3 linked regions of the Callithrix jacchus genome follow. The protein of the gene in region 2 purifies or fractionates together with the protein of the main gene of each other region. This does not show direct contact. Links are inferred from orthologs where the notes say so. Each region holds a gene or a part of one and is shown on either strand. Other genes may lie near its edges. The genes, in order: ZNRD2, NEURL4 and CEP290.

Region 1 (5,608 bases), on a different chromosome or scaffold from region 2:
ATTGATTCGTACAGGCCCCACAGCTGGCACAACAGGGACATGTCCAACTGCCGCAGCCCCACCTGCAGACAACTGAGGGTGGGCTGGAGTTGGGGTCCAGGCCACCCCAGCCCAGCCCCATGCCCTGGAATCCTGGGCCCATCTTCCCAGCACCTTCCTAAACAAAGTTTTTGTGGACGTCAGGCACCACCTGCGAGCTTTGCAACTTTAGGCAAGTCCTGACCGTCTCCTAAAAAAATGGGGTTCTCATGCATTTAGCGGGATGAAATGAAGTAACGTCATCAAGACGTCTGGAAATATAGGGTAACTACTGCCGTAATTGGTAACTATCACTAATTATCGTTCCCATAACCCTTGGAACCCGACCTGTGCCTGCAAGTTCTCTGAGACCCAGGCAGCTTGTCTGGGTGTCTGCGCTCCGCTGGTCCGGCGCCCACCCACTCACCATCTCCTTGCGCAGCGCGGCCAGTGCCGAGTCGAGGTTGACAGGACGACGAGGGCCGGCTGCGGGTCCCGCGTTGGCGGCACCCGCGGCGTGGCGGGGCCCATCCGGGGCGCGGGCGGCGCGGCTCAGTTCGTCGTGGATGCGGCTGCGCTGGCTGTAGATGCGCTCCAGCTCCCGCCACGAGCCCCCGCTCGCGTTAAGGAGGCCGCTGAGGCCGCGCGGCAGCGGTGGGAGCCCGGCCAGGGCGCAACCCGCGCCGCTTGACGCCTCGGCCGAGGGCAGCCCGTTCATGGCCGGGCCGGCGATGCCACCTTCTTCCTTTCAACGCTCTGCCCGGGCGGCCGCCCGCAGGCCCCGCACCCCGCGGTCCCGCCGGAGCCAGCCGCCGCCCGCAGGCCGCGCTTTGTTCCTTCCCAAGCTCCTCAGACTCCGCCTCTGCCCCACCCCCTCCGCATGGGCCGGGCCTCTCTTAAAAAGGCAACAGCTGTGGAACCACTCGCGCAAAGCTGAGAAAAGGCAGCGGGGCACCCACCCAAGGGGAGATGGAAAAGGGAGGCGGAGAGGGGGAAAGGCCAAAAGGGGCAGGCGTGGTTCCTTCGCGGTTCCTTTTGCTGCCTCGTCTCCCTGCCGCGCCCCGATCCCCGCCTCCCCCCCGCCCCCAGTTCTGTCCATTACCCTCCCAAGGAAAATGATCTAACAGTGGAGTCAGGAGACTGGCAAGTCCACACTTGGTGCCTAACGTGCCCCTTGACGCTGGGGTCACCACAAACTCCTGTCGGTCGGTGTCTGAGTACCTGGGGTGGGCATGGCTGGGATAGGCTGATAGGGTCAGAATGCTCAGGGGAAGAGAGGATTCTATCAAGAGGATTGGAACCCAAAATCTCACTTCCAGGTGGGGAATGGGCACCGGATGGCGGAAGAGGTTGCAGAGGTGCTGCCAGAGACAAGGGTAGGGTCCAGCCCTCTGGCTCCTACCTTTGAAGAGGCTATGTCCTCTTCTTGAGAAAAGGGGCATCACATAGTCCTCTGGCTAATCCCTCATCCTGACTGGGGAAACTGAGCAGAAACAAGCTCAATTCATCTCAGGGCGTCAAGAAGAGCAGAGAGTGGAGAGGTGAGAGGCCAAAAGTTGAAAAAAGTGAGTGGAGCTGCGGCTGGCATGCACACTCAGAACCAGGAAAAGAACAAACCACACAGAGGAACAGCTGTTTTTCTAGAGGGTTTTTCTCAGGGGCTACTCTCAGTGCTGCAGCTGCTGCAGGCTGCACAGGGCCTCCGCACACGCCCGGATAAGGCCACACAGCTGGATGCTAGTCTCCAGGGAGGTGCTAGCGCCCAGTTCAGCAGAGGCCCAGGTCAGCTTCTGCAAGAGGGCTGTCTGTGTGCAGGCCATGACATCTGCATTTGGAGGCACAGCAGGAGGGGGTGGTCCCTGGGCTGCCTTGAGCCCTGCTGCAGCTCCCTCACAGTGCTCTGGACGAGGTACTGGGGGCTGGGGTGCAGGTCGAGAGCCCAAGGCGGGCTCTGAGGCTGAGGCCAGCTGGTGCTCCCGAGCTTGGGAGAGGGCAGCCTGGGCATTCAGAGCTAAAAAGAGGAGAAAGTGAGTAGAATGGTCAGGATGCCTGGCCCACCTCAGCCCTGAGTCATCTCCTTTTCTGCTCTGCTCTTTCTGTGCTTGAGGTGTTTTCCCTGTCCCTCTATAAGGCAACTTATCCACTTTCTACTATGTATCACATTTATGCCCTAGCTTCAACTCTCCATCAGTACTGGGTCTGACTGAGCTCAGACTCTCGCGCAGTGGCTGGCACACAGAAGGTGCTTGCTGCTCTTACTGAGTGAATAGTCCTCTTTAAAGCCTAAAAGAGAAAACATTTTACCTCTGCACCACCCAGAGACTCCACTGTCACCTCCCAGGCCTACTGTTCTGCGGCCTCTATCACCACTCATCACGCTTCTCCGCCAATCACACACCTCTCCCGGATTATTTTTTTTACCCTCACCGGGATTATCTTTATCCACGTCTGAGTCGAGTTCTTGACAAGCAACGCAGTAGATTTTCCGCTGTTTGTCTTGGAGGAGGATCGTCTACGGACCAAAAAGCACATGGGGCCGGAATGAGACGCGGCGCTGAGGTCCAGAAGGGAGGGCCGAGGAAGGGCTGAATGGCCTGGCCTGCGCCCCATCCCGTCACTCTCCCGGGTCTCGCCTCACCCCGCAGTCCGCGCACGTCTCGCCCAGCATGCGGTAACCGCGCAGCAGACAGTCTCCCATGAGCCGGGAGATGCGATCTTGCCGCTCTCGTCGCGCCTGCAGCACCTTCGTCTCCGCCTCAGTTGGGGGTTCCCAGGAGAAGTCGTCGACTTCTGGGGAAGAGAGGCATAGAGACTGGGATCTTGCCGCAGGGGGCTGCCTCCCGTAGCCGCAGCCACAAGCCCCTGCCGCCCAAGTCCTCACCAGCGCCGTTCAGGGCCATGTTGCCGTGGCCGCCGCTGGGCTCACCAGAAATGACGTCTAAGCGGAGCGCCCTCCGCTGCGGCTCCGCCCCTTCCACAGCGGCCGCGGATCACGACGGAAATGACGCCTCATCGTGGTCCTCACACCTCGCTGAGTCCGCAGTGGGGCGTGTGGGCCGCTGCGGAGAACCTGCCTGGGGAACGCGTCGTCAGCCGGAATCCAGGGGACTGAAACTTTCGACGCTCGGGGCCTCGGGACGGGCGTCTCTGGTAATTCTGCTCCAAGTCGCAAGATCTGGGAGCCCTTTCCGTCGTGAATGAAGGGGACCACAGGTCCCCGCTGGCCTCCGCCTCCCCTGGGGTTTCCCTTTCGGCACAGGCGGGGCAGCAGCGTCCTCACAACCATCGCCACCCCAGTAATCACAGCGAGCGGCCCTTTGCGCGCGCGTGGAGCTTCCTCAGGCCTCAGTGCTTCTCACTTCGCCTGGCAAACCCGGCCCGGAGGGGAGCATTCTCGCTTTCCGCCTATTTCAAGACCCCTCCCCTTGTGCATGCTCGGTGTCCCAATCTGTCTCCCCGCTGCCTCCCGAGGCCTGGGACTGAAGCAAAGTCCGCCCCGAAGCCGACCTTTCTTTGAAGTTGAAACCCTCAAAAAGCCTGCGGACTGAATAGCGCTGTACCGGTCACGCGCATTCCGGTTACAGCCTCCCTTGAGTGCTGCGTGCTGGGCAGGGTCGGGTGGGGGCTTCTTACATACTCTTTCGACCGTTAGGCTCTTCTTGGGTGAGTTGCAAGTTAAAATTACCAGGGCTCTCTGAACAGGGACCTTGGTGCTTTTCTCTCTCTCCTGTGTTCTTTTTCCACATGCATCCTCTCCCTTATTAGGAGAAGCCAGACAGGGCAGGCAGGGGTCCTCAGATGTGGTCTGCACGGGCTCGAGGTCGTACACCAGGGCAGTGTTAAAGGAGCTGGACTTTCATAATTACATCAGCAATCCCCTCGCGATGGCACAGGCTCCCTCAATCTGACCTGAAGTGCCCTCCTCCTGGCCCCATCTTCCTCCCACGTAGTCCCCCTAGAACTGTCGTTTTTGCTGCCTCCTGCTCACCTAGAGAGCCCTGTGCCCCGTTCACATGTCCATCTACCAGCCAGGCTCCTGGGCAGCTGCGTACCTTAGAGTCTGTACTCCAAGTCGTTTCTGTCTGGCTGACTAGAGCTACCGTTTTTTTGTTGTTGTTGTTGTGTTTTGTTTGTATTTTTTTGCAGTGATGGGGTTTTGCCATGTTGCTTAGGCTGGTCTTCAACTCCTAGACTCAAGCGATCCTCCCACCTCGGCCTCCAGAAGTGCTGGGATTACAGCGGTGAACCACAGCACCCAGGCTTAGGCTGACTAGAGGAACTGTCTCTGAACCACCTCTTGGACTTCAGCCTGCATGCACAGACTCCCAGGTTATTACCATCTTCAGATCCCAGCCCTACTGTGAATTCTTCAGTGCACGAACTATTTTACCATCATGGCGATGTCCACTCAATTGTCTCTGCTGCCTGGCACCTACAAAGACCCTTAGATGAATCCTCCCACTTAATCTCTTCAATTTATTCCTCATGACAACCTTGTATGGGGTATTATCCCCCATGTATTCATTGCCGTGGGACTGTGTCAGGGCGCCCTGCCTTCATCCCAGGAGAGCAGATCTCACTTGGCCCCGGGGAGATGTATTTGGGAGGTGAGATATAAACACTGGGTGAACTGGGGGTGCTGGGGAGGTGGGTGGCATGAATGGCCCCCACTTCCTGGCCTGATCCCCGGATGGGCGAGGAAGAGGGAGGCCGAGGAGTTGGAAACACGGGCAAGGTCCACAGCTCCGTTCCAGCCCTGCTGAGTTTGACATGCTTGTGAGTCATTCCAAGTGGAGGCTCCTAAACTCGGGAGTCTGCAGCTCAGACAGGACGTCTGGCCTGGAGACAGAGGCTTGGGGTTATACAGGGGGCATCTACAACAGCGGGAAAGGGTGGGCTTACTGTGGAGAGAAGAGGGCCCAGGGTGCCCCAGGAAGGTCACCATTCCCAGGTCAGGCAGAGGAGGTGGAGTCATGCCAAAGACCAGAAAGAGCAGCTGGAGGGAGCAGAGAGGAAAACCAGGAGTGTGGTGGGGAAGAGCCAGGAGGAGGGTGTGGCCCTGAGTGTCTAAAGCTGCTGCCACTAGGATGGGGAGATGACAGTCCTTCTTCAGGGTCTGCGGAGGGGACTCAGTGACAGGGAGCAATGAAAGAGTCCCATCCAGTAGTGATGCCTGACTCAAATGATGCCCATCCAAATTCCTTCAGCTCTCAGGGCCTCTGCAGGAAGTAGCTGAAACCACTGGGGCTAGCGACTGAGGGACATCACTCCAGTGCACACTGCTCCATTGGCATAACCGGGGAGGGCTGCCCACGAGCTGTGGCCCACAGCGGAGACTCGAAGCCCCTGGTCCCTTGCAGCCTGCAGGGAGGGCGCTGGGGGAACAAATATCACCCTAATCTCCTGGCTAGAGTGCAGTGGCGCAGTATCAGCTCACTGCAACTTCACCTTCCAGGTTAAAGTGATTCTTGTGCCTCACCCTCCCGAGTAGCTGGGATTGCAGGTGTGCACTGCCACACCTGGCTAATTTTTTTTTAAATTTTTTTATTTTTTTTGTATTTTTAGTAGAGACAGGGTTTCATCATGGTGC
Region 2 (6,185 bases):
CCGAGTAGCTGGGATTACAGGCGTGCGCCACTATGTCCAGCTAATTTTTTGTATTTTTAGTAGAGACGGGTTTCACCATGTTGAAACAGGATGGTCTCGATCTCTTGACCTTGTGATCCACTTGCCTCGGCCTCCCAAAGTGCTGGGATTATAGGCGTGAGCCACCGTGCCTGGCCTTATTCTATTTTTTTTGAGGCAGGGTCTTGCTCTGTCACTCAGAGTGCAGTGGCACAATCATGGCTCACTGCAACCTTGACTTCCTGGACTCCAGTGATCCACCCACTTCAGCCTCCCAAGTAACTGGGACCACAGGTACACACCACCACACCTGCCTAATTTTTATACTTTAGTAGAGATGTGGTTTCATCATGTTTCCCAGCCTGGTCTTAAACTCTTGTGCTGGAGCAATCCACCCACCTTGACCTCCCAAAGTGCCGGGATTATAGGCGTGAGCTACTGTGCCTGGCCCTGACACCTCTTTTCATCATAGCAAGACTCATTTCCAAACCTGGCATGCTCAGCTTATGGTGTCCTGTCCAGGCTCTACGTGCCAGGTATAACCTCCCCATCATTGGCTGCTTGCCACCGTGAGCTGTCCCCTCCCTGGAGCTGTCGGCTACCCCAGCCAGCTGTCTTTGAACAGCCTCTCTAACCTGGAAGCCCTACTCCTCAGGCGCACAGCAGGCAAGCAGAGCCCATCCAGCCCCCACCCTGCCACACACCTGGGGAGTGTAGTGGGAAGGATTTCTCGGTGGCAGTGTTGCTGGTCGCCAGGCTGTTGTCCATGGGGCCGGTGGCATTGGTTATGGAAACTTGGACACATTGGCCATAGAGATCGACTACCGCGTACACCTCTGGGGAGGAGAAGGAAGGTCAGAAGCCTGACAGCCAGGGTGGTTTGGGCTGAGGGCAGCAGGCTGAAAGCCACAGTCACCTTTACCCGGAGGCAGGCCCGAGCATGCAGCGCCTTGGTCCTGGCCATTGATAAAGTAGTGCAGGTCACCCTTGGCAGTTCGCATCATGCCAATGCGCGCACCTGTGCCCAGCGCATCCAGGTCACACCCGTAATTGTTTCGCATTGTATTCCCATCTTGCATGATGGCTGTGCCACTGGGGAGATGGCAGAAGGGTGAGTCAGCCTGCCAGCTTCATCTTCACGTGGGCCCCTGCCCACTCCCTGCCTGTCAGAACCTTCCAGTGCCTGGGGCTGGGGTCTTGATCTGGGCGTAAGGCCCAATCCTATCTCCTTTGTCCCTGGGATCCTCTCAGGGAAAAGCAAGAACTACCTAAGAGAAAGGAGGATTGAGTCTCTGTGGGGCTGAGTAGAGATTCCCAGAATCCAAGGGAGGGGACAGGCAGATCCCCTAGGTCTGCCACTGCCCACAGCCACCATAGGCCTAAACCTTGCTTCCCTGATCCCAGCCAGTTCCACCCAGCCCCAAGCTGGCCCCAAAAGCAGGAAGCCCGACCTCAGCATCCATGTGTCATAGTCAATGTCTGTCATAGTGTTGGGGAATTCCAGGTCTTCAGGGCGAATGGCAGTCACTCCTGGGAAGAGGCAGGGGTAGGTCAAGGCTGCTCCCCCAAGGCACAGGCATCCAGCAGCCCCCCAACACACACACAGATGCCCCTCACCAGCCTCAATGGAGCCTGACCAGCGGTCCACCATCTTCTGAATGACAATTTCAAACAGCTCTCCATCCCGCAGGGCCCTGCCAGGGAGATTGGTGATCAGAGAGGCTCTGCTTGGGTGGCTGAGGCTAGGCAATAGGAAGGTGGGGACATGAACGTCAAGAGACTGACCGATTGGAGATGACGATGGCGTCATTAAACTCGCTGCGGCAGTTGTGGCGGAGGGCAGTGCGGCCCCCATTAGTGATGACTGCATTACTGCCGTGCAGCTGGTGGAAGCGCAGGTCAGAGCCCCCAGCCCCTGAGGACGGGGAGCTTGGAGACACCTGGTTGTTCCCTTCAGGGAGTGGCTCAGGAACTGGAGGCACCTCTGTAAAAGTGGACATCACTCTTAAGTCTCTAGGTGTCTCTAAGACCTCCCAAGGCCACCCTAAGCCCCAGCCCAGCCCGGCCCTCACCCACGTCGTCCACAATGGTGGCCTGGGCCGCCTGGCCATAGAGATCGACGACAGCATAGACGCCCGGAGGCACGTTCCAGGCAGCAGGGCCCTGAGTCATCCCATTGACAAAGAAGTGGAGAGTCCCATCTTCCCGCCGCACCACGCCCACCGTGTCCCCTGCCTTGGAAGAAGGGGGTGCTGGAGTGAGGAGTCAGGCAGAGTTCCTGCCGGGGCTGGTCCTGCGTCAGCCCCACGGTGCCTGTGAAGCCTGCTGCGGCTGCCCGGCAGCGCACCTACTTTCCCACCTTGAGGCGGTCCAGGTTGTGCCCGTATTCATCCAGGATGGTCGTCCCATTGTGCATCACCCCATTCCCAGTCATCATCCAGGTCCCTGGGAGGACAAGGAGCAGTAGGGGACATGAGAGGACACGCAGGGCTCCTCTCCTTTCCATAGTAGCACCTATAGGACTCCCAAGCCGACAGCCCACCTTGCATTTTCTTGGACAACTGGCTTTCCTCCCTGAACAGGACAAGAAAACTCTGCAGCTCCCTGCCCACAGGGCACTCTGTAGCCATTGAATGAGTGGTCACAAGAGTGACAAGTAAAAAAGGGGCTGGAGAACTAGTGCCAGGGCTCTGGGAATAGCTTCCCCCCAAAACCCTATCCTGGCCCTGTCCTTCCTGGGAGCTCACCAGAGCGCAAGTTGGTCATGGTAGAGGGCAACTGGAGGTAGGCAGGGTTGTGGGTGGTGACGCCAATTTCAATGGAGCCAGCCCATTTGTCCACCATCTTGTCGATGCGCACCTGGAACACCTCTCCATCCCGCAGGGCTCGGCTGCTCAGCACCACGCCATGATTGAAGTCATCGGTGGCACTAAGGGCACAGTGAGTGGAGAGTCAGATCCCCAGTACATGCTCTCAGTGTGCCAAGGCTTCAACCGGCAATGCCTGCCAACACTTACTGCCCCAAGCCAAAGAGCTAAACCTCAACCTCCAGGAAGCTCCCCCGCCAGGCTCCCTCTGCCTTCCACTTCCTTGTCCCACCCCTCTCCCATTCAAACCCCTTCTTCAGGCTTCTGCCCACTCCATGGGCCATACTGGGGCCTCAGGGCAGTGCGTCCCTCGTGGGTGATGGCTGCCTTCTGGCCACAGTTGGGGTGGAAGAGCAGGCGCTCGGGTTCCGCCTGGGCAGGAGCAGCTCGGCGGAGAGCACCCTCAGGGGACAGTGCCCGTAGGATGGCGTTGTTCCGGCGGAGACGGTCACTGTGGTTGTTATTGTGGACGATGGTCACCTTCACTGCCATCCCATACAAGTCCACCACACCATATACCACTGGGGGTGTCAAGGGGGTCGCCACTCCTGTGGCAGGAAAGTACAGGGGTGCGGGAGTGGGCAGGGAGAATGAGAGGAGAAAGTCACACACAGGGAGACCAGGCACCAAAGAGAAGCAGGATGATGAGGTAAGGACCCCAATCCCAGCCCCACTGAATGCCCTAGCCCAGAGGCCCTCTCTGAGCAGCCCTTACCCTGATCGATGCCATTGATGAAGAAGTGCAGGGCCGAGTTGGACTTCCTTGTGAGACCAATGTGGTCACCCTCCTACTCAAAGAAGAAAAATAGTTCAGAGGATTCCCAGGGCCTGCCCAGTATCCCACTCCGCATGGGAACAACTCCAGAAAGTATTCACCAGAGTTCAGATCACCCTCAAGGACAGGTCCTGGGCCCTTGTTTTCCAGATATGACAGTTTCTACATTTCCTCAGTGCTCAACATGAGTCAGGCACTGAGTTAAACCACCTCACAGACATCAGCTTCGACAAGTCTCAGCCTATGGAATCAGCCTACTTGGAGGCTCATTTTAGAGACTGCAGTGAATGGAGGAATAACCAAAGAGGGTAAGCTTCTTGCCTTAGTTTGCCACTACAAATGGGCAAACAGGAAGAGGAATTCAACCATCTGACTCCAAAACCTGAGTGCTAAATTCTTGGGCAACTCAGCCTACCTAGAACCTTTAGGTAGACATAGGGACTTGCTCCAGGTCACAGAGAAGAGACCCTGCTTGGTGCCCAGGCAGGGACAGAGTATCTATGGCTCCTCTGGAGAGTGACCCAAGGCTCTGTGCCCACCCTCACCTGCAACTCATCCAGACTGAATTCGCAGTACTCCCGGCGGGTACCCTTGCCATTGGTCAGAATTCCACAGCCACTCATCATGATGGTGCCTAGGTGACGATGGACACTCAGGTTGGGGTATGGGCTTCCTTCCTCTCAGCAACACCAGGCCTGCACCCCCACCCCTGCCCAGGGCTAGTACCTGACTGGAGGTTGGTCATGGTGGCTGGATACTCCAAACTGTTGGGGTTGTGGGTGGTGACACCAATCTCAATGGAGCCTGACCACTTATCAACAAGCTTGTCGATACGGATCTGGCATTGAGGGAAAGAAGGGAAAAGCAGGGAATATAAATGCATAAAGGGACCTTCAGCCCTTGGTTCTTCCCCAGGGCCCACCCTCCTAGCATCAAGGGCCAAGCCCCATCTTTAGCTCCCAGGGACAAGGCGACAACCAGACCACAGGACTTTGCACACCTCAAACATCTCATTGTCCCGAAGTGGGCGGTTGGTCATGACAACCCCATTGTTGAATTCATCCAGGGGCCGCCTGCGCTCAGCTGTTTTATTATTGTTGCTGAGTTTGATGAGGGTCCCACACTTTTCATGAAATAGCAGGGCATCGTTGGAAGTGAGAATGGGAGAGGTGGCAGCACCGCTAGACCCCAGGCCTTCCCCTGCCGGTGGGGAGCTCAGGTTCACATTCAGGAGCCCTCCACTGTAGGCAGACAGGATGGTGTTGCTCACCACCTCGGACAGCTCCATGCTGGCGAAGTCTATAGCAGCAGGATGGAAGAAGAAAGCTGGGATGAGGCTCTATGCCCCCAGGCTTGGTGCCTCTCTCTGTACCCCTTCTTCTGAGGGCCTTCCCTTGTCCACTTCACTTCCCACTCCCCTTCCCTGGGCCTCCCCAAAGCCCTCACCATTATGCGACTCAAGGCTGTTAGGAAACGTCTCCGGCCGGGCCTGCGCTGGGGACACCATGAAGGCTGGGGACCAGGTAGGATGGGAGGGGAATAAGGGTTCAGTCCCTAATTCAGGGCCCACAGCCAGGAGACCCCCCATCTTCTAGCTCCCGCTCTCCCATTCAACAGACTTGGGGATCAGAATGGCCCTGCCCACACCCAGCCTGTCTTGTCACTGTTATTTCCCCCATTCCATCCCCACCCCGCCACCACTGCCCTAGCTCTTTTCTTACCTTCATCAGCAGAGGTCCCCTGTTCAGCCAAGGCAGAGTCTTCAAGGGGGGCCAAGGGCTCGAGGGGAGGTGTGGGGATGGGAGTAGGGGGGCTGAAGCCTGGCTCAGAGGGTAGCACAGTGATCTGGGTGCACTTGCCATAAAGGTCCACGACAGCCCAGACACGAGGGGGCAGGCCTGTGGCAGCCACTCCACAATCCCGCCCATTCACCCAGAGCCGCAGCTCCCCAGCAGCTGTGCGCTCCACGCCCACACGGTCCCCTTCGCCAAGCTGGTCCAGGTCCTGACCATACTCCTCCAACACAGAGCGTCCATCTCTCAGCACAGAGCAGCCTGACACTACCCATGAGCCCCCCTTCAGCCCTGTGGCACTGCTTGGAAAGTCCAGCACACTGGGATCCAGCGCTGTCACCCCAATCTCAATGGAGCCACTCCAGGAGTTGACCTGGGATAGGGGTAGTGGACAGAGGCTTAAAATGGGCCACCCCTTATTCCACAGACTACCATATCTTCCCACCTCTCAGATAGCTAACTGGCTTTCTCTTGGAACACTAATCCAGAGATGCAAATAGTAATTTTCTGGACTCTGGCTTGGTAATTATTTGGGCTTTCTTTCCTTTAGCAACTCTGCTTTCTACTCAGTGTTTACCGCACCACTCCTTTCCAAGCCAAACAAGCGTTCCTTAGTTCTAGCCTCCTGTCTCCTCTGACTTCCCTGGTCTCTATGGCTCTCCAACCATCCAAATTCACCAACTTCCTATACCCACACCTCTTGCTCTTGTGTATCATTCCCTTCCCTTGGCC
Region 3 (6,185 bases), on a different chromosome or scaffold from region 2:
TCAGAACTCTTCATTGACTCCTTTTATGAAAAGAACCAAATTCATCAAGGAACTGGCCCTTGCTTATTTCTCCAGAGGATCGTAAGAATTAAAACTGGGAAGGCAATTTAGCACAGACTCTTGAGTAAGACTGTTTTCAAATCCTATCATTACCACTTATAAGCTGTGTAACCATGGCAATTACCTTTCTTTGTCTCCATTTCTTCATCTGTATCATGGTAGAAATGACATTTCATATGATAAGTATGAAATAAGCAAAAATGAATTAATTCATATGAAGTGCCTGACACATAGTAAGGACTCCATGGAAGCTATTTTCACTTATATTCCAGTCAAAATGAATAACTGTAGCTTCCTAAATACTCCATAACATCTCTTACTTCTAGGTCTTAGCAAATGTGTTACCTTCTACCCAGAATGTTCTTTCTTTAACCACCATATACATTCTCATTCCTCTTACCAGTCTAACTTCTACTTCAGGTCTCAGTTCACAGATCACATCCTGAACCTTAAGACTGATTATGGCATCCCTCTCCAGAGTATCCCAGAATATGTCCTGATATATCTTCCTAAGTAACATATTATCACTATGTTATGCTTATTATTGACTGTAAATATCCTTGAGAAGCAGAACATAGTTGCCCACTATATCACTAGCAACTAGCACAGTCTCTGGTATGCTGTAAAGACTCACTAAAACTCAATGACTGGTTAAGGGCAAAGAAGTAATTACCAAAGCAACTATATCCGTATTTCATCTCAAGGAACTTAGCAGCCGAAAAGGAACACAGGCCATATATTTAAGTTTTCTCTGTGTGAAACTATGAGTAAAGATAATAGTCTAAGATATAAATGGACAAGGTAGTTCTGATTAGCTAAGAGTGTGTGGTATGAATGATAAGTCAACTGATACAGGCCTAAAGAGAAGAATAAAAGTCAAGAAAACCACAGGCATTCCCCTAGGCAATTCTACCAGTGAATATCATAAGTTAGATCCTTTATAACTATTAAAAAATCCACATGTCTGTTATGTTTTGCAGAGTTAACTAACCAGACAATGCTCTAAGAACTTGTTCTTAACATTTAAGTGGCATCAATCCATACTTTCTCTACCACGTTGTTTTGATAGCTTTTATATGGTTCTTTAAAATTTTGGAGTAAAATAGATACATGTAAGAAATTTGTAAGGAATAGTTTCCCTTAAAAATCAATTTATGATAGATGCTCTTATTATTATTGTTGTTTGAGACAGAGTCTCATTTCTGTTGCCCAGGCTGGAGTGCAGTGGTGCAATCTCGGCTCACTGCAACCTCTTGCCTCCTGGGTTCGAGCAACTCTTCTGCCTCAACTACCCAACTAGCTGGGATTACAGGCACTCCCCACTAGGTTCGACTAATTTTTTTTGTATTTTTAGTGGAGATGGGGTTTTTGCCATGTTGGCCAGGCTGGTTTTGAACTCTGGGTCTCAAGTGAGATTGATTCTCTTAAATAGCATATCACTGTTTTCTTAAAATGTATGACCCTCTATTTCTGAGAGAATAATGAACAAAATGAAATAAACAGAATATAACATAATAATGACTTAAAGGACACAAAGGTAAAAAATGTTTCTGAGTATAAGAGACAGGACAGTTACCACATGTAGGCACCAAATTTTACTAAGTTTACTAATAGCTGAGGTGAAATAAAAAACAAGTAAGTGTTAAATAGAAATGTTAATAAATAAATAAAACATTAAATAAGAAGCTGAGGTAAAATAGGAAATTTTCTTCAAGAAAATACAAATTTACCTGCAAAAAACTTTTTTTCCAAAACTAAATCCCAGGGAACACTGCAAAAATTATTAGTTTACAACAAGGAATAACATGAGTTAATAAAAACTATGTATTAAACATGTTATTTTAAATATCATTGATAAAATGTTGAGATTAACACTTTTCAAAAACAATATATATATATCTCATATATAAGGATACAACCAAAAACAAGAAATTTAATTAAACATTATTGAATGTATCATCAAAAGATTCATTTCCAAATCTACTAATCATATAAATACATTGAAATAAACAAATATAACTTTTATGCAAAATAAACTATGATACTAAGATCACTTCTTTATGCAAGTCTATTAGTTTCTTGACACTAATCTTCCAGACAAAAGCATCAATTTTAGGTAGTAAGTGTGATATATCCTGAGAAAAATGTACCTCCAAATATAAAGAATTAATCTTCAAGTCATATTCACTAAAAGTACCTGTTCCATTATATTTTAAAATTTGTGATGACAAAATGAACAGTGTTATAAAATCTTATAAGTGTACATCATTCCTCAAATATAACATACAATACAAAAATTGATATTGTTACCAATAATTATAAAAAGCCAGGTAACTTGAACAGTGAAGATTCATGGAAAAAAAAGTGCTTTACTTGCTCATTAACTTTCTTCTCTTTCTCCAACTCCTTTTCCATGTCCTCCAATTCTCTATCTTTTCGTTCTAATTGCTTTTCAAGTTGGCGAATTTCATCACGTAAAAACCGAGTATCCCGACCACCTGCAGACCGCTGAGCCATCTCAAAGTAATAAACCCAAAGTATAAATTATATTATATTTTGAAGTTCAAATGATTCAACAATAAGCAACTTATCTTGACTTTAAATTTTCATTATATTTCAGTGCAGATATTTAAAATCATATTAAGAATCTTTTTTTTTTAATTTAACTTACCTAAGCGTTAGTTCACAGCTAGTAAGTCTTTAAACTTCTCCTGAGCCACCCAGAGCTACAAAGAATTGACTGTTAATCATTCTGTTGTAACCACTGGCCAACAGGTAGCAGACTAAAGGCAAAGGTCCTAAGCCGCAGAGATCTGGAACCCGTGTACGAACCATGAGAAACTCCGTCGCTGTTAGTGAAGTTTAGTGCCTTAACCTGCCCTTTCTCTCATATCATGCACTATTTAGACCAGTGCTGCCCAACAGGACTTTCTAGGATAATAGACATGCTCTCTCTGCTGTTCAGTTCAGTAGCCACTTGTTACATGTAGCTATGTTTGGGTATTTGAAGTGTAGCTACTGTAACTGAAGAACTAAATTTTTCATTTTAATTTTAACAAATAGAAATATAAATAGCTAGTGTTAGTGCCACTTTACTGAACAACTCAGGTTTCATTTATCTTTAAGATTTGTAGCCAACTAAATCCATTTTATTTCATATTCTTGTTAATTTAGGTCATGTCCCAGAACATCAAATCATTTGGTCATCTAACCTGTCTCACATTTATCTCTTCACCTTATAGTTCTGTTTTTCCTCTACCTTAACCAAATTTTTCACACTCTTTCTCTCCTTCAAAAAGCATTCCCTGTGCTAAAGTCTTCTTCCAAGATAAATATTTCACAACCTCAGATTATTTACTGAATCATCCTTTCCATCTCCTTGCCTTAGCTGCAATTTGGATCCTTTAGGATACTAATGCCCTTGGAACTCTTTCAGTTGGAAGGTGCTCATTCTTTCACAGCCCATATACATTAGGGTCAGGAGGAGGTGTTGGTACTTCTAGGTTTACTCTACCCTGCAACTTCACGTGATCATTCCTATCATTCCTCCATCATCCTATGAAAACCTCAGCTGCTTTCTCACAAGATATCCAGCTCTCCATCTTTACCTACTCATGGTAGCAGCAAACCACCAACTTCCCAGTGACTCTGCAAAATGTACTGGGAATTTAAGCATGTGCCTCACAGACGTTCATCAAATCCCCAAGCAATTTCCACATAACTTTTGTTCTAGTCTATTTTTTTTTTCTTGTTTCTTGAATTCACTATCATCTCTCACTGACACACCAACATCAAATCCTTGTCCAATCAGAAACATTCTTTCAATTATTCCCACTATGCCTGTCCTTTGACCTCACAGGACACTAATCCCTCGACTTCTCACTCCTTATCCCTACCCTTCTGCCCACCCAACCCCAATCTTGACTTTCTTATCTATTCAGTTGAGACTTCATAATCACCACTTCAACCACTTTCCTACCAATATCTTCAAAACTGTCTTACTCTTCTATTGTATAGCAGGTGCCTATCTAAACATTAACACAGAATTGATTCAACTCCATAATTCATTTAATGAGTATTTATTGAAAGTACTTGGCATTTTTCCAGGAGCTGGATATACAATCAAAATAACAAGTCATCCAAGTTCAGAGAATTAACAAATAAAAGAATCAGGACTAGAACTCAAATCTGTCTGACTCCAGATCCCCAACTCTCCAGTCTTTTCTCCATTACATTTCAAATTTTATCTGATTTTCTTAAAATGTGACCACACCATCTCCCACTCTTTCTAACAGATGACATCATCACTGACCTCTCAACTTCCAGGCACTATGCCTACAAACATAAAGGCTTCTACATACATCTACTGTTCCTCCCCTCATCTACTCTTCCTTCTCTCCTAACACAAGGAAAAGGGTATTCCTTCTTTCAAAGGCTGATCCGTTTCAAAAGCTGATCCATCCCTACCTTTTCAGGAATCTGAATTTAGTTCCTCAACAATACATTCATACTTTAGCCCTCAGCTTTGTAAAAAATTACTTCTATAAAACCCTTTGGTCATTATTCCCCAACTCCCCACCCACGCTCCACCTCAGTTACTAGTAAGCTTTCTATGTATTTCCCAAGACTGCAAGCTCCATATAGCAGTTAACTGTTTTAATTTCATTCACAACTGTATGCTCAATCCGAGAATATATACTGAAAAAGCAAATAACCATGATTACTATCATCCTTATAACTTTTCCAGCCAATAATAATTTTAAAATTTGAAAACAATGCAAAATAAAATTTATGACAATTACATTCTAGGAAATACAAAAAGACATACCTCCAGTTCATTTTCCAGTTTCATTACTTTAGTTTTTAATTGATTTTCTGTTTTTTAAAAAAAAAGACAAATGTTTTCATACATTAGCTACCACAAAACAAACTTTTAAATAAATTTAAATAACAAAATTAATTCTTTTAAAAGACTCCATCATGACTATAAGGTATCAAAAAGAATTATATGGCAGATCCATAAAATAGGAGTCTAGAATTGCTTATTATTAAGTAAATGTTATATATTAAAAATAAACTATATACATCTTATAGAATAAATTTGATTTTCTACAGCTTAATGAACACATGGAATTTATTATTTAATACCATAAACTTTTTTCCAAGTTGCTTACCAAATTTTGCTTGTTCTTCTCCAGCTTTTTCTACTTCTTCCAAAGCCAGCTCTACTTCTTGAGCTTTCATCTAAACATTAAAAAAAGGTTATTTCAATATGCCTTTGTACTAGAATGTAAGCACTGAAAACAAAAATTGTATTTATTATGATTCTTAGTGTCAGCAATGGGGGGCACATGGCGATTTTCAGTAAATATTTGTTAAATAAATACATAATTTTTCTTTCTTTTTTTTTTTTTTTTTTTTTGAGACAGGGCCTCACTTTGTCACCCAGGCTGGAGTGCAGCGACACAATCTCAGCTCACTGCAACCTCTGCCTCCTAGGCTCAAGCAAACTTCCCACTTCAGTCTCCTGAGTAGCTGGGACTACAGGTGCATACCACCATGATCAGCAAGACTTTAAATTTTTTCGTAGAGACAAAGTCTCACTGTATTATTCGCCGTATTATGCAGGCCAGTCTCAAACTCCTAGGCTCAAGCAATTCTCCTGCCTTAGCAACCCAAAGTGCTGGGATTACGGACGTGAGGCAGTAATCCAGGCAACTTTCTTACTTTCTTACTTAAGATTATAATTTCTATTTTTAATAGCATGAAATATTTTTGATTCTCCCTTTTACCTCAAGTCTTAAGTCTTACATCCAGTAATACAACATCTCCCTTTGTAATTTTTTTCACTACTTTTTTTCTGTTCCAATTGTTATTATTCTAACACATAATTTCATGTTTAAACTCCTCTATAATGTGATGTCTATATAGCTCCAGTAATCCTTCTATTTGTCATATATTATATATTGTTTTGCCTTCCTAAGGCATATTTTTGTACCTATCAACTGTGGTTCAGAAACCTTTATTGCCTTCTCAATTGCTGGTAGCATAAACTATATCTTTAAGGCCCTCAACAGTCTCTATCAAAGTACCTACCCAAGATTTGTTTTCTCTACAGCCTGCTA

What was found.
Region 1: the proteins of NEURL4 (region 2) and ZNRD2 purify together in Homo sapiens (co-immunoprecipitation; 4 studies listed by BioGRID and IntAct, with this or other methods). This does not show direct contact. The link is inferred for Callithrix jacchus from reciprocal best matches to the Homo sapiens genes NEURL4 and ZNRD2.
Region 3: the proteins of NEURL4 (region 2) and CEP290 purify together in Homo sapiens (affinity purification with mass spectrometry; 3 studies listed by BioGRID and IntAct, with this or other methods). This does not show direct contact. The link is inferred for Callithrix jacchus from reciprocal best matches to the Homo sapiens genes NEURL4 and CEP290.

What each region holds. Positions count from the first base shown.
Region 1 is NC_133511.1:122,652,405-122,658,012, reverse strand, and holds ZNRD2 (protein ZNRD2), read right to left. Parts: upstream 2,952-5,608; 5' UTR 2,919-2,951; coding exon 2,900-2,918; intron 2,809-2,899; coding exon 2,657-2,808; intron 2,531-2,656; coding exon 2,446-2,530; intron 2,030-2,445; coding exon 1,686-2,029; 3' UTR 1,652-1,685; downstream 1-1,651. Other genes in the region: FAM89B (leucine repeat adapter protein 25), read right to left, coding at 1-62, 446-736. UniProt on the Homo sapiens protein: Might play a role in mitosis. Antigenic molecule. Could be a centromere-associated protein. May induce anti-centromere antibodies.
Region 2 is NC_133506.1:73,807,449-73,813,633, forward strand, and holds part of NEURL4 (neuralized-like protein 4), read right to left. Parts: intron 5,827-6,185; coding exon 5,382-5,826; intron 5,173-5,381; coding exon 5,107-5,172; intron 4,960-5,106; coding exon 4,661-4,959; intron 4,499-4,660; coding exon 4,387-4,498; intron 4,295-4,386; coding exon 4,206-4,294; intron 3,674-4,205; coding exon 3,601-3,673; intron 3,434-3,600; coding exon 3,172-3,433; intron 2,948-3,171; coding exon 2,766-2,947; intron 2,464-2,765; coding exon 2,378-2,463; intron 2,254-2,377; coding exon 2,091-2,253; intron 2,003-2,090; coding exon 1,804-2,002; intron 1,713-1,803; coding exon 1,636-1,712; intron 1,549-1,635; coding exon 1,470-1,548; intron 1,111-1,469; coding exon 935-1,110; intron 855-934; coding exon 723-854; intron 1-722. UniProt on the Homo sapiens protein: Promotes CCP110 ubiquitination and proteasome-dependent degradation. By counteracting accumulation of CP110, maintains normal centriolar homeostasis and preventing formation of ectopic microtubular organizing centers.
Region 3 is NC_133510.1:93,052,149-93,058,333, reverse strand, and holds part of CEP290 (centrosomal protein of 290 kDa), read right to left. Parts: intron 5,305-6,185; coding exon 5,235-5,304; intron 4,936-5,234; coding exon 4,889-4,935; intron 2,578-4,888; coding exon 2,434-2,577; intron 1-2,433. UniProt on the Homo sapiens protein: Involved in early and late steps in cilia formation. Its association with CCP110 is required for inhibition of primary cilia formation by CCP110.